Struthio camelus: one gene and its partner. The protein of the gene in region 2 purifies or fractionates together with the protein of the main gene of each other region. This does not show direct contact. Links are inferred from orthologs where the notes say so. Each region holds a gene or a part of one and is shown on either strand. Other genes may lie near its edges.

The links.
Region 1: the proteins of STK38 (region 2) and MOB2 purify together in Homo sapiens (affinity purification with mass spectrometry; 7 studies listed by BioGRID and IntAct, with this or other methods). This does not show direct contact. The link is inferred for Struthio camelus from reciprocal best matches to the Homo sapiens genes STK38 and MOB2.

Annotation. Positions count from the first base shown.
Region 1 is NC_090946.1:17,772,217-17,779,350, reverse strand, and holds the start of MOB2 (MOB kinase activator 2), read left to right. Parts: upstream 1-4,132; 5' UTR 4,133-4,230; coding exon 4,231-4,340; intron 4,341-7,134. UniProt on the Homo sapiens protein: Stimulates the autophosphorylation and kinase activity of STK38 and STK38L.
Region 2 is NC_090965.1:4,691,037-4,698,504, reverse strand, and holds the start of STK38 (serine/threonine-protein kinase 38), read left to right. Parts: upstream 1-4,457; 5' UTR 4,458-4,471; coding exon 4,472-4,687; intron 4,688-5,114; coding exon 5,115-5,158; intron 5,159-5,166; exon of another isoform or gene 5,167-5,359; intron 5,360-6,298; coding exon 6,299-6,433; intron 6,434-7,468. Other genes in the region: parathyroid hormone 4-like, read left to right, coding at 595-683, 1,786-2,188. UniProt on the Homo sapiens protein: Serine/threonine-protein kinase that acts as a negative regulator of MAP3K1/2 signaling. Converts MAP3K2 from its phosphorylated form to its non-phosphorylated form and inhibits autophosphorylation of MAP3K2.

The DNA of each region.
Region 1 (7,134 bases), on a different chromosome or scaffold from region 2:
CAAGACAGGAGCTGAAAATATACCCTTGAAATCTCTTTCCCCTTCACAGAATCACAGAACGGTTGAGGTTGGCAGGGACCGCTGCAGATCATCTAGTCCAACCCCCCTGCTCAAGCAGGGTCCTCTAGAGCATATTTCCTAGGATCCACCTCCAGGCAGGTTTTGAAAATCTCCAGCGAAGGAGAACTCCACAACCTCTCTGGGCAACCTGTTGCGGTGCTCAGGCACCCTCACAGGAAAGAAGTTTTTCCTCATGTTCAGATGGACCTGCCTGTGCTTCAGTTTCTGCCCATTGCCTCTTGTCCTGTTGCTGGGCGCCACTGAGAAGAGTTTGGCCCCATCCTCTTGACACCCTTCTTTCGGGTACTTGTAGACATTGATGAGATCCCCTCACAGTCTTCTCTTCTCCAGGCTGAACAGGCCCAGCTTTCTCTGCCTTTCTTTATAGGAGAGAAGAAAGTCCACTAGAGGTCCACTACCGCCACCTCCATACTACCTTTTAAGACTGAGTTGACTTTGACCTCAATCTGTCTTCTGTCCAAAATTCATGCCTCTACAGTCTATTAGTGTCGCTTCTTCTTGGCCTCTTTGCTGCTGCGTGACAATGACAGAAGGGAGAGCGAATGTAGTCTCGGTATAAATATTGCTTAGAGGCAAGCTAAATGATAACATATTTTCATTGCTAATTTTTGAGCGTTTGGTCCGGAGAACTGGGGATGCACTGTGAGGTAATTGGAAAGGTTACTTGGCTAGGTAGTAGAAAAGCACACGAAAGTTGGACAAAAGGGCCAATTAGCTAGCAAAATTCAAACATTGTATGTCAGGCAGGGACGCACAGTAAACTTCAGTTTAATTTAAAACAGACCTTTACAATCTGACGTTACAAGGCCTCATTTCTTATAGCTCAATGCTGACTTGTACTTTAGTCAAAATAATGGTTGTGATCTCCCCCCCGCCCTCCCGCACTGTTTGCTTGTCTGGGTTAATATGGCTTGCTTTCTTTTCCAAACTTCTGGATACTAGTATGCATCTCTGTGGTGGCTGCTTTACACTTAACTTTTATGGAACCCTAAAAGGGGCAAATAAATAAGTAATTGAGCAACTGCTGCTTATAAAATGTTTATAAATACCAAGTATTATTTATAATATTTCTTAATATCATTCCTCGGCTTGGTGGTCAGCCTAGGCCCTAACAAGAAGTTTGAGTTTAGATGGCATCGATCACAAAGCGCTCTCTGGTGCTGAGAGAGGCAGGGATCAGTGTGGAAAACATTCCATCGGTGTCCTATAAGCATCTATATTTATGTGTAAATGGTGAGAGATGGGGCTCTGCTCTTCCTACGGTATTGTTTTGTGCCCTTATTCTGTGCCGCTGTCGACTCATCGGGTATGGTGGTGATACTGTTTTGTTGATACGTCTGTAAAACTGCCACTGTCATAAAGCTTGCTGTTGTATCTGGCCCGTGCACGGATATTTCTGTTAAAAGTTTCGTGATGATTTCAGGATACAGTTCAGTGACCTTTAAAGCTTGACTGGTGGGTAAGGGACGGTAAGAAGCACTTTGCCACTGTTGAAGCACACTTAAATCTCAGGTTGGACTCAGCAGTTGTTACATGCAGAGAATGTTGAGGTGGCAGATAAAAAAAAGAAGGTAATGATGGATGTAAATAGCCGGAATATCAGATATCTTTGAGACACAGCCTTGAGAGAGTGCAGATATGCATCCTTAAGAATAGGCATAGCTAGAGAGCATACCAGTGGTTGTGTACAAATAAATACACAGCTTTTTAGATAGAGTACTGCTCTTTCTGGATATAACAGCTTTCAAGCAAACCCATTTGTGTCTGCACATACACTCTAAATCTTTCAGTTTAAAGTATGAGACTCCATACTGCACATATGTTTTAAGTTACTGTACATTGATGCCATATAAATAAAAGCATACGTGCTTAAGTTGTGCTTCCTGTAATAACCTCAAGTTTCATCTTTATGATTTTGGAGCATTTAAAATTGAGCTTGAGATATTGCTTTCTCCCACGACTTAAATAAAATCTAGTAATACAAATAAGCTGTAGCATGCAGTCAATCCAAAAGGGGGATACTGCTTGACTAGAGGAATACTTACAGATGGAGGAAAGGCTGGAAAAGGTGCCGTGAAGACACATAGTTGAAGAAAGAGACAGGAAAGCATCGGTTTGATCCAGAAGCTAACAGAATAGAAATATGGGTCATTTATCTAGGTCAAAGTGAACTGATATTAGGTTTACAAATTTGATTTTGGTTTAATCATCAGTTCCTAATCCTAGGCCCCCATGTAAGGTCACTGAAGCCTCTGTCTCTGAAGAAGTGGTGCTTAGCTGTCAGAGGTGTGCAGAGGCCAGCCTTCTTAAATGGTAAATGTTACAGTTCATTATCTCAGAGCTGTACTTATTTTGGTTTGACCCCTGGATTTTTCTTAAATTTATCTTGGACAGACAGACTTTCATTAAAGCCTAAGCTACCTTATCTCCCATGCTTGTTGTTTTCAGGACAGATTTTTAACAAAATTCTTTGTGCAGATTTCATTGGCGAACAAAGAAAAGCGCAACTTCCCTCTTGGCAGGTGTCCTTCCATTGTTTGCTAGGACTGTTGCTTATTAGTGTTACTGTGACAAGTTGTTCTTATTTGGGGAAAAAGACTGAGTGGGCATCAGATTTTTCAAAGGTTTGGATAATCTGTGTAAAATGCACGACTGCAAAGTGGAAAGCTAAGCTCTGTTCTGTCTTCTGCCACAGGCTTCCTGTGTGATATCAGTGAAGTCATTAAAGCTCTGTCTTTTATGGCTTGCTTGAAAAGTGGGAGTAAAAATACCTCCCACTTCACAAGGATGTGCAGGCCTAACTAGTTCTTTATGGATCTGACTCGGATCTGTGACTAGCAGGCAGTGCGTAAATGAAAAATACGGTTCTCTGTGTAGGGGCACTGGGATGGAGAGTAGCATGTTATTTCTCCAAGTAGGACCTGTGGCTGGCGTTTCTTGGGTTTGCTTAGGTTTGTGCAAATAGCAGCCGCATTCCAGTCCACTTTGACCACCTGAAGCAAATAATGCCTTTCAGCTGACAGTAGCAGTGGCATTTTCTGTGCTAGGTTTAATTAAAGACCGCTGTTGGCCTTCTGTTTGCAAGGGGAAGATGCCAGTTCAGTAAACTAACTGGAGACCTGTCCTTTCTGAGTTCACCTGGTGCTGGGAGATGTATGTTAAAAGGGCAAAAACACTGTTTTCTCCAAGACAGTCTAGGTAGTTTTTTCCATGTCAGAATGAGCAGTATCCTCAGGGCTTTGTCTAGGTCATGCTACATCCTACCCATCACTTCTTTCTTGTGATTTGCCTGTAAATGCTACTTCTGTGAGCCAGTGGCACAGCAGCCTGTCAGAAAGGTAGGTGTCAGGTGCTGTTACGTGGCATGGCTGAGGAACTGGACATACAGCACCGATCTAGAGATCTGCTACTGCGTATGGGAAAACTCAAAGTGGTTTTTAAGTGCGGCACTGCAGATCTCTTGTTTGGGGACCCTACTTAATCAGTTGTTGCCCTCTAAGGACCATCCACCCCGCAAGTTCTGGCTCTTAGCTCTGGGAACCTGCCAGGTCATAACGGCAAGGTGGCTCTCCCAGCTTCTGGCTTACTCTTTTTCACCTTTCTTCTTCTCATCAGAGTCCTTTGATAAAGATGTTGATGCTGTTTCCCAGCCGAAGTTCACTCTGTGAAACTGTAGTTCTGATGCAGAACATACAGAGCTCCGCACTTTTGCTGGCCCGTGCCCTTATTTATGTGATCCGGTCCCTAAAGAGCAGTGCCAAGCCTCGCTCGTGAAAGGCTTCGTTATTCCCCTCTCCAGCAAGGGTCGCGGCGGGGCTGCCCGGCTGGCGGGGGCGTGCCGCGGGGGGGCAGCGTCAGGAGGCGACACCCTGCCGCCAGCGCGGCTGCTTGTCCCGCTGCTTAGGGGCCGCCAAGAGAAGCGGCAGCGTCCGGGGGCCTGGCCGCGCACCCGGGCCGCCCGGCGCTCCTCGTCCGCCCTGGAAGGGGCGGGGCGGGGCGGGGGCAGCCGCCGCGGCCCATTGGCAGGGCCGGCAGGGGGCCGGGCCGGGCCGGGCCGGGGGCGCTCGGCGGGGGGGAGCGGAGCGCCGCGCCGCGCCGCGCCGCGCCCGGCTTTTCCGCCCGCTGCTGCCGCCGGCCCCGCGCTGTACCATGGTCGGGGATCACTGCAGCCTCCCCGGTGATCGGCCCGTGCTCGCCCAGAGCCCCAAACCCGGACTAAGCTGCAAAATGGTCCTGCAGGCGGTGGGCAAAGTGCTGCGGTAAGGGCGGCTGCGGGGTCGCGGCGGGTGGCGAGGGAGCAGCTGGAAGGCGCGGGTTACGGAGCCGGCCCGGCCGCCTTGTTGTCCTCGGTCCTCTCGTGCCTGGAGGAGGGAGGCGGCTCTCGGTTCCCTTGGACTCTGGCGTAGCTCTCTGGGAGGGTGGAAGTTTGACTACTGATAGCTGCTTAAGCAGAAGCACTTGTCCACGCATGACACTGCCGTGAAGTTTCGTTTGTGGTCTAAACTAAATTTCCAGGACATAAGGAGACGGTGAAGGTCCTGGCTTTTCATTAGTAGTCGTCAAATAAGGACTCTGACAACGACTGCGTTTGCTTTGGCGTGTTTTATACAAACATATCTTCAGATGAGGGGAAAAAGTTGCTCATGTGGCTCAGAAGGGCTTGTGTGAGCATCGGGATGTGTATGACTACAGAGACCAAAACCAGACTGTTTGGCAAAGGACGCAGTAATTTGATCGGGGGAGTTCTGACCGATTCTGATTCGAGGGGAAAATGTCACCACAAATATTAGGACTAACAGCTTCATTCTTGGACAACTGGAGCTCTTTATTTCAGTTAAATGTGCTCGGATATTTTCTCAGATCTGTGCTGCTCCGAAAAGGAGCCTTGTTGCTCAAGCGTAACTTTATTTGGCAAGCTTTTGTTTGTGCCCGTTTCCTGCTGTCTGTTGCCAGTTGTTAAATGTTTGTCAACAGAAACATCGCTCCTCTCTTACGTTGTTGACTCATGTTTCTTCTCTCCCCAAAGTAGCTTAGAGGAGACCTTTTATTCAGTTAGAGCGTTCTGATCACAAAGTGGAAGAAAATGACTGAGATCTAGCTGTGCCTTGAACTAAAGAAATTTAGTGGACTTGGAGCAGACTCGAGCATTTGTTGCAGTGGGTTTTTAAAGAAATACTGTCTTGCTGTACTTCATGTCTTTGTGTTAACTAACATTTTCTGCAGGAACTTATTTTTGAAGAATTTAGGTTTCTTTTTCAGCTTTTTAACAAGTGTAACCTTTCAGAACTATTTTACATCCCTTCTTAGAAATTTTGGGAGGGGGGTTTATAATTGGTGTTACACACTAACTCGTATCATAAAATACTTTGGCCAGAGGCTGGCTATTCATGCTGTGAAGCTTTTGAAGTTTTTGGTAGCTGTTCTATTGGCAGCACTCCCAGGTGTAAATAGATTGGTGCCTCTGTAGGAAGGTATTGCCAAATCTTTTGTTTGGCAGCTATGGCAGTTTATTTTAAAGTATAGGTAGCTTCCTCTGACTTGTCAATGAAACATACGTATTTTTGTTTTGTTCAGTGCACATGTATGAGAAAATAAAACTTCTTCCTTTCCCCTCCAACGGGGATGCATGCAGAAATTGTGCGTAACTTGCTCTAGCTTTTTTCTGAGGTTTATTTTCAACATATATTATAAAACTGTTGTGAAAGCAGGAAAAAGTTGCTGTTCTATAGGAAATATTTGGGACATAGAAAATAATAGCATAGCTTTATTTAGCTAAAGCTGTTATTAAAGGAGCGTGAGTACTGTTTTCCAGTAGTTCTTTTTTAATGTGTCTTTTCATCCTGGGTTATCACCTCTTGTTACCTGATCAGAGAGAAATGTGAAGTCACAAAAACTTTCTTTGGATGATAGACTGGGACTCTTATTTCTCCTCTTGGACGTACTTCAGATGCCTTATGTATGTTACTTCATCTTATTTTTCTGCAGTTTATGTTTGTAAAACAGATAAACTCACCATGTTCTGCAAAGAGTTCAGACAGCGTAAGTGCTCAGCTACTGGCTGGCAGCCTAGGTAAATAATCGATCTGACAGGGGTCTCATTGCTGCAGAAATCATGTGTTTGTGCTTCTTGAAAAGTGTGAGCCCAGTGATACTGAAAGAAGAATCCCTGTGGGACCCGGTTTAGGCTAAAAAAGGTGGCTTGTTGCTGGCAGCTGTGATGGCATTCCTTTGAGTGTAGACATCCAGAGCTAAGCTTTGTCTGCTTTATACTGGGTAGAGAACAGGCAGTTTGACAAAGCCGTTCATTTTGCATGAAAGCAGATGTGCAATGCAAGTCTGATAAAGAGTGGCTAGCTCACCTGTCAACCTTTGTGTTGTAGGCATATGAGGCAATATGAGATGAATCGCACCATTATTATAATGCTTTACCAGCTATTTCAAAGTAAGCGGGGGACAAAGTGTATTTGATACCACTTTTAACCCCGGCCTTCTGCAACAGTGCTTGATTGAATTCTTTTGTAGTCTGCACAGAAGATGAAACGGTGCTGAACTTCAGGATAAAGTAGTTTTTCTTCTGTTAATCAGGTCTTGAAACTGTTTGGGGATGTGATCAAAGGATATTTTGTTTATGTGTAGCCTGACATTATAAACAGCCTAGTGTGTTTTAGTCTAGTTTCACTGGCAAAACCGGGAATCATCATCATCATCATCATTGTGCCTCCCCTCCGCCCTCAGTACTTGCAGAAATTTGCAGCGGGCAAGGAGTAAAGCGCCTGTCTTTTCTCTTAAGTAGTCCCCCGTTTCTGTGTCTCTGGGGGTTTTATTGGTTGTGAATTACCAGTCTCAGTTGTTGCAGTGAGATACTTACTGGTATGATTTTCCTCTGTAACAAATGCATTCTACAATAGTTAAATGAGTTTTATACTCTTGTAGCTAACTTGCTCTCTTAAGGCTTGTAACGTTCACGTTGCTTTCACTAATATTGCTTAGTATTGTAGTCTAAGTCCTCTGTAGCAGCCGAGCGCCAAATAGTGTGTATGTCACACGCTAGCA
Region 2 (7,468 bases):
TCCATTTCTTTTCAGGAAAAAAAATATCATTCTTGTGTGCTGTGGCAGATCAGGATGTCAGTAACATCATGTGTATTGCTGATGTAAAAGTCTTGTATTATTAAAGGTCCAAATGCCAGGACTGGGTCCACCTTTTAACTTAAACTGCAGAGTCCACTCTTAAACTCTTGTTGAGGTCTGTAATACATTTCTAAAGCAGCAACCCTGATTTTTTTTTTTGGTTGGTTAAATTTCTGCTAAGTTTTTATCAGGAAGATGTCTTATCAGTTCCAAATAAAATAATCTCTTGCGCCGGCATATGCACAAGAGCAGGAAGTAATACCTTAACAAGCAATAGCGGAAAAGGAGATATAGGACTCCCAGTAAAGAAATGTAGCAATTTACTATGAAATATATTCATCTTTTACTGATACACACTACAAGCTGTAATGATGCTCTGACAGGTCCTGAGGTGATATACCATAGTATACTGCTCCACTGTTACTAATGCTTATAGGCTGAAATTCATTTTGTCAAGTGAAAGAAAGAGAAAGATTTTTGGTGATACTGGCCACTTCTTGTCCTGTCGAACAGATTTAAAGAAGAAGAGAGAAAATGTTCCTGCCTCAGAGATCTCTGAAGATGGTTACATTTTTGGCACTTCTTTTTCTTTCCTCTTTTGCAACATCTCAAGACACTGAAAAGTAAGCAATATCACCCTTTTCCTTAATATTATTAGAAGACTGCTTGCTTTCGGTTTAATGGGCTGTCTTCCCCATTGCTGCCATGTACCCCAGGGCATAGTTGAAGGAAGATTCCATACATCTGATAGAACAACGTTTTACATCACCCTTTATGCAGTACAGAATCAGGCCAATTGCATTTTACGTGCAAAAATTATACCATCTTCAGTGCATTTCAGTTGACGCTTTTAAATATAGCGTAGCAAACCACGCAAAGATGCTCGACGCAAGTCATGGAAATGTCACATACTGAAATTCCATATTTAGGTTCTCCCATTCAGATCCAAATCTGCAGTGTGAGCCTATAGCTGGAGTTAGCTGTTTCTAAACTGCCCCAAATCCAGAAATATTCTGGAATTAGCCTGCCCTCCCCCGTCAATATTTGGATCAAAAGTTTTGGTATGTCTTAAGAAAATAAAAGCTTGTTTTCATTTCATGGACACCACTGATTTAAGTTAAATTACTCCTGACTTACAGCTCTGGAAGGAAAGAAACAAACACAACAATCCTAGAACATTAAGTTCATAAAAAGATTTTTATTGCAGCATTTGGAGCTCTGAAAAGACCGCAAATTTGCCCAAATCTGGGTAAAGACCAAACTTCTATTTGCAGAGCTCTATAAGCCTGCTGAAGTCACTTTGCCACTCTGTGCCCAAATTTGGCTTTTTTGTTTGTTTTGTTTGTTTTGTTTTGTCTTAAGAGGATTCAAGGTATCTTTTGGGAATAGCTGCATGTATGGTGTTTCAGCTTCCCCTCTTCAACAACTGGCTACCTGGTTGCCTTGCAAGCTGCCCCGAGCTAACCTGTGTGGAGGAGCTCACACGCTGATCTGGGGTCTGTGCGCTTTGCAAGGGCCATGCCAGCTCTGGGCTCCCACACTACTAGCTTTGCCATGGACACGGCCTCAGGGCTGTCCCCCACAAGATGTTCAGGCACCACCAACGCTCCTTCCTCAGCTTTGAGGAGCAGCTAAGAGTGATAGATGCAAATCAGCCATGTTTGCAATATGAACTTAGATCTGGCTGTACTTGTTTCCTAACGGAACTCTTTCTTCCTGTTGCAGTAAAAGAGCAGTGACGGAGCATCAGCTCATGCATGACAAAGGGAGGGCATTTCAAGGGCTGAAGCGCCTGACCTGGCTCCACAATGCCCTGGGTAGTGTGCACACAGCCAGCAGCAGGGATATTTCGCTTTCAAATGCCATGGGGGATTCTCAGAAGAGCCGAGATCCCTCAGATCTCCACAACAGCATCAGCAGAGCCGAGACTTCAAGCCTGATGAAGCAGCTGCTGGACGTGATGGAAAAAGAGCAAGGCTTCATCCTGTTAAAGAAGCCAGATTTACTGCAATATATGAAGACCCCAAAGGGTAACTGGAACCCACAAGACCTTTTGGACCTCCTTCAAATCAAAGAGCTGGGCAGCAAGAGAAATCCTAGCGCCCAGCCAGCAAACTTTTCACACTAGTCTGAATCCAGCTCAGTCTGTCCATCGCTTTAGGCGTGCGATGTTGTGAGGAAAAGCTCTAATGCAAGGGTGAAACACAAAAGAAAAATAACGTTCATTTGTTCCGTTAACTACTCCTAGATGCTGAATAGAGAGAGCCTCATAAGGACCTAAGTTCTCTCCCTAACAGGCAGTCTGAATAGTGTGACTGTGAGATGGGGTGATTTTTCACAGGCCAGAAATATCTCTTTCCATGACAGGGTCTTCCCTGTCTGTTACTGGTATCTTAAGGTTGTGACAGCTCTTTGCAGCTCTTGTAGTCCAGGCATAACAGGAAGTTTGGTTCATGAATCTGCATATTCACAGGTTCATTTGCAGTCTAATGTTTTGCCTCCTAAAGAAGCAGTGACTGCTAATACAGATTTTCTTCTATTTCCATCCTGCCTGCCATTCTGCCACTTTCTGCAGTAGTAATAACTTTACTTAGGCTTTAGGCCCTAAGGTTCATAATTTTCCTGCTTTTTAAGCATCTAGAATGTTTTAGGAAGTCTCTCATCTCTCGGTTTTTCCTTTAGGACGGTGGCAAACTTTCATCAGGCCACAGAGGTAGAAATTGGCAGCTGATCCCCACCACTCCCAGCCTAAGCCCTAGACAGTCATCTTGTTCTGCTGATGGAAGAGTGATGAGAATCAGCTTCCAGCCTCCATACTCGAGCCTTTTGTGTCAAGACGTCCTATCTTTTCCTTTTTCCCATGAAACTCTCTCGAAGAGCTCCCAAAGCATACCACATTTTCTAGGTGGAAAACCAACTTCATGAGGCCATTTGTGTTTCCTGAAAGAGAAATAGATGCCACAAGATTTTGTTTTGCTATTCTCCTTTAACGTCAAACTGGCCAGCTCTGTCTTGCAAAGCAAGGTCCAGTTTAGTTGCAAAATCAGTCTTTCAGAAATGAAATATCTATTTCTTGTGTTACAAATACATCAGCATTTCCATCATGTAGGGACCGTACATGACACTTTCATTCCTGAAATTCCTCTGCTGCTGCTAGACTTCAATAGCATGTGCAGAGAGTATTTCTCAGTGCTGTGATTTATACCCAACAAGTCCTTGATGTTGTTAAAGAAATAATAATAAAAACCCTTTCACACTCTCTATTGTACTTGTTTTTTGCAGAAATGTAAATAAAATGAAGATCTGCTTTTGCTAACATCTCCACACATTTGGAATGAATATGGAATTACACTCCTTGCACATTTGAAGTGTATTGAGGAAGAGGCGCTGCCCCATGTCATTTACGGGAAGTTGAGACTCGAAAAAAGATTAGACATTCTAAATCCTTAGTTCAGCCCACTCTGGGAAGAATTAAAAGTCACTCTGGGAACCCTTGGGACGCGGTTGGTGTTGTCCCAGGCCAGGTCCCACGCTGTAACGTGTCCGTGCCACTCCACAGGGATCTCCATTAGATGCCCAAGCCCATTCAAATCATGAGTGAAACGTGATTTCAGATGTTCCTGACAAAGCAGAGGCTGGGAGCAGAAGAGGGCTGAGATGAAAATTGGTCATACAGCCCAAAGCATGAGTTTGCTGAGCTGGGGTACAGAAGCCCTTTCTCCTCGAACCAGCCTCTGGGCTGAGCTGGATTTCAGAGTCCAGGGGTGTAAGTGAGGAGGCGTGACTACGAATAGCTCTAACCTCCGGGAAAACACCTTCTCCCATTGGGCCTGTTGGGTGCACCGGGGAGTTTGCCTCTGTAGATGTATTTCTGTCTACAGGGCGGAAGGCCCCTTTCCTGTCTTTGAGCCCTTGGAAGCTGAAGTAGGTGAGCGAAGGGGCACTGAACGCCTCAACTGTCACTATCAGCGCCCTGGGGTTTTCGCGGTGCCTGTCCCTGACCAAAACCGACCTCCCTCGGCGGCAGGGCCACAGGGTGCACGAGGCCACAGATGGCGGTGGCCTTTTCGGAGGGGGGGAAGAGGAAGGATGGGGCTCGCCGGGCCTGGGCGAGCCGGGCGTGCCAGCAGACGGACTGCTCGAAGCACCTCCGGCCGGCTCCAGAGGGGAAAAAGGGCTGATTTAAGGCAAAACGCGTGGATTTCGGAAGGCATGAGCGCACCAAGCGGGTGGTGGCGGTGGGGGGGGGGGGGGAACAGCCCCCCCCCAGGGCCACCCAGGCGCGGGGCACACTGCGCATGCGCCGGAGAAACCCGCTCCCGCCAGCCCGGGCATGCGCCGCTCGCAGGGCGGCGGGGAGGGGGAAGGCCGAGGCCCCGCCCCCCCGCTGGCAGAGGGCGGGGCCGGGAGGATGGTGACGCATGCGCGCTGCCGTAGCGGTGTCTGGGGCGCTTGTCCCGTCCGGGTCGCCGTCGGTGGCGGCGCCGGGGGTTCGCGTGGCTCGGTTTGGGGCCCGCGCTCCGCTTCGCCCCCTCCCAGCTCCGCCTCCTTCCGCAGGCGCCGGGACCCCGCCGCCGCCTTCTGCTCCTCACACCACCTCCCCCCCCCGCCCGGGGGGGGGGCTCCGGTAAGCCGCTCCCCCTCCCCTCGCCTCGTTGCCATGGAGACCTCTCGCCGGTGCCCTCCCCGCCGCGCTCCCCGCCGCGGGCCGCCCCCTCCTCAGGCTGCGGAGAGCTGCGGGCCCCCGGGGCTGCGTGGCCGGGACCCTCTTCCCCCCGGCTGGGCGAGCGGGGCCCGCCGCGGTGCTGCCGGGCCTCGCCGCTGCTGCGGGCAGCACCGAAGTTACCTGTCGCTGCCGAGGGTCGAAACCTGCTCGGCACCGTCGCCGGGCTCCCCTCTGCCGGTCCCCAGAGTCAGCGCACCTAAAAACTAACAGGTGGCTTTTGCTGCCTTTGAGTTGGGTGCTTTCTTCCCCCGCCGCTCCCCCCCCCCCTTTTTTTCCCCCCCCTTTCTAACCTGCTTCTACTAGATAATTTTCACACTCTGTTCTCTAGGAAACGAAAGCCAGCGGCGTAGTTTTCATAAATACACGCTCCCGGTACGCAGGTCTCTCCCGCCGTGTCCTCGGTGCACGTGGAGAACGCGCCCCTGCTTCTTCATGTAGCATCACTTGAGAGCTGCTGTCCCGTAAGGGCATGACCCCCTCTCAAGCAGAAGTGTAGCCAGAGGTTCTTGCTGGTTCCCTCGTTATATCTCTTCTGTGAAGAAACCTTCAGGCATTCCAGACGAAACAGTTATGGTTTGTAAAGGACGTGATTTGTAAAGGTGCAGTGATGCCTTATAAAGAAAACCGTAAGAAGTAAACAGGAAAAATCCAAATCATAACATTCGGCTAGCACCTAAATATCGCAGAAGGGAGAAGTGTGTCTAACCTACCTTTGTCTGCAATTTCTAGTAATAGTTACAAAGTCAGTTACGTTACTAGCAGTTACGCTGTGACCAGTAAATGTAGGCTGAAATATAATTTTGCATTTGGTATCTCTGAATTTGAATGTGTTTTAAGAAGCAGAGTTAGGCTGTAAATGTGCCCCAGGGCTGTGCTGCAAGATGGAACTGGCGTACTCTGAAACGTTTCTTAAGAGAATTCAGTGTGTAAATCCAGGACACGTAAACTAGTATTTGTTGTTTGTTTGTTTGTTTTAAGCAACTGAAGGCTTTTTTTTTTTTTTGGCTTTCTCTCTCGATTGCTCCATTATCAGGATAACTTCCAGGATTTTGATAAAATTCACAGTAGAGGAGACAGCATGCAACTGATGATTTTATTTCTCTAAGGATCAAAGGAAGAAGAACTTCTGGATTAGATGTTTCAGCATGATGTTTTTGAACTTTAAGTATTTACGAATGATAGGGAGAAAATATTGGGAGAAATGCAAGATATTTGCAGCGCTGCCCAAAATTGTGGTTTTTGAGGCATCATGTTTCTTAAGTTTCCTTCCCTCTTATTTTCAGATCAAAAATGTTCAAAACAGGAAGTTTGACTGGTACCTTTATTTTGTAATATTTTTTTCTCTCTACTTGGGCTTAGCTTAGACAACTGGACTGTTATCACTTGTTCTGCTGATAAAACTAAAATTTAAACTCTGGCCTCTGTGATTCAGCAGCACTTGATTGATTGTAGTTCTTGTTTGAAGGATGTCATTTCTAATGTCAAACGTTTCCTCCCTTTTTCTTTTCTAAGAGCCATGGCAATGACAGGCCCAACACCCTGCTCATCCATGAGTAATCACACCAAGGAGCGAGTTACAATGACAAAGGTGACATTAGAAAACTTCTATAGCAATCTAATCGCACAGCATGAAGAACGGGAGATGAGGTAAAAATCTTTCTTGCTTCCATTCCAAATTGGGTAAGACCCCAAAAGAAATGTTAATTGAATTTTAGCTATCTGGATCCAAAGCGGAAAAAAAAAAAAGAAAATCTTTGCTGAGCAGGTACCTAAACTCATGAGGAGGGTACCTAGATGTGGCTTGGCCCGAGGATCCAGAGGCAACTGCTGGGTTCCTGGATCCCAGTGTCGTTTAGGCTGGGGCTTTCTGAGTCTCTGAAACATGCTTGCAAACACAAAAGTGGTATGATGATCATCACGTTTTAAGAAGGTGTATGTTTGATATGTGACTAAGTAGAAACTAACTTTAGAATCATTCGAGTACAATTCTGCAGTAAAAAGCCAGCATTTGGAAATGCTTATCCTGTCTACTTTTGTTCTGTTGCCCCTCCCCGTTTGATGTCTCTGGCTGTAATATTTAAAACTCATTCTTATGGCGTCAGTTTAATTGTGGGTTGTAGTTTGTGATAGAGTCACCTGATGAGGGAAGATGAATCTTTTCAAAGGCAATGAGCGATTGCTATACGGACATCATGTAATGTCATTTCACTGTTAACTTCTTACCTATGAATTAGCTGAATTTATCACATCCCTTGAAATATATCTGTCAAAACATAACAAGTGATTTAACTGAGATGTATTACTTTTGTTTTCCTTTGGCTGGAACCTTCTAATTTGCTGAATATCCTCAAGTTGTAGCACTGGGACTTGGGACATTTTCCCAACTTGCAATGTAGTCTATAATCAGAATTTTCAGAAAGGTTCAGCGTTCCTTCGCTTCCAGACTTACAGCCAAAAAAGCTAACTTGATCCAAGTGGAATGCCTGCTAACTACAGTAACGGCAGAAATGAAGAAGAAATTTAGAAATAAATACCAAGTTGCGTACATATTTTCTCCAAGACTTCAAAGTAACGACGAGAGATTGAGGTCTAATCCAAACAGAAAATATCACTAATTTAATTCATTGCTTTCTCTTTGTATAGTTCTTGCTTTGTGTTATAAGTACTGCTGTCTACTTCCAA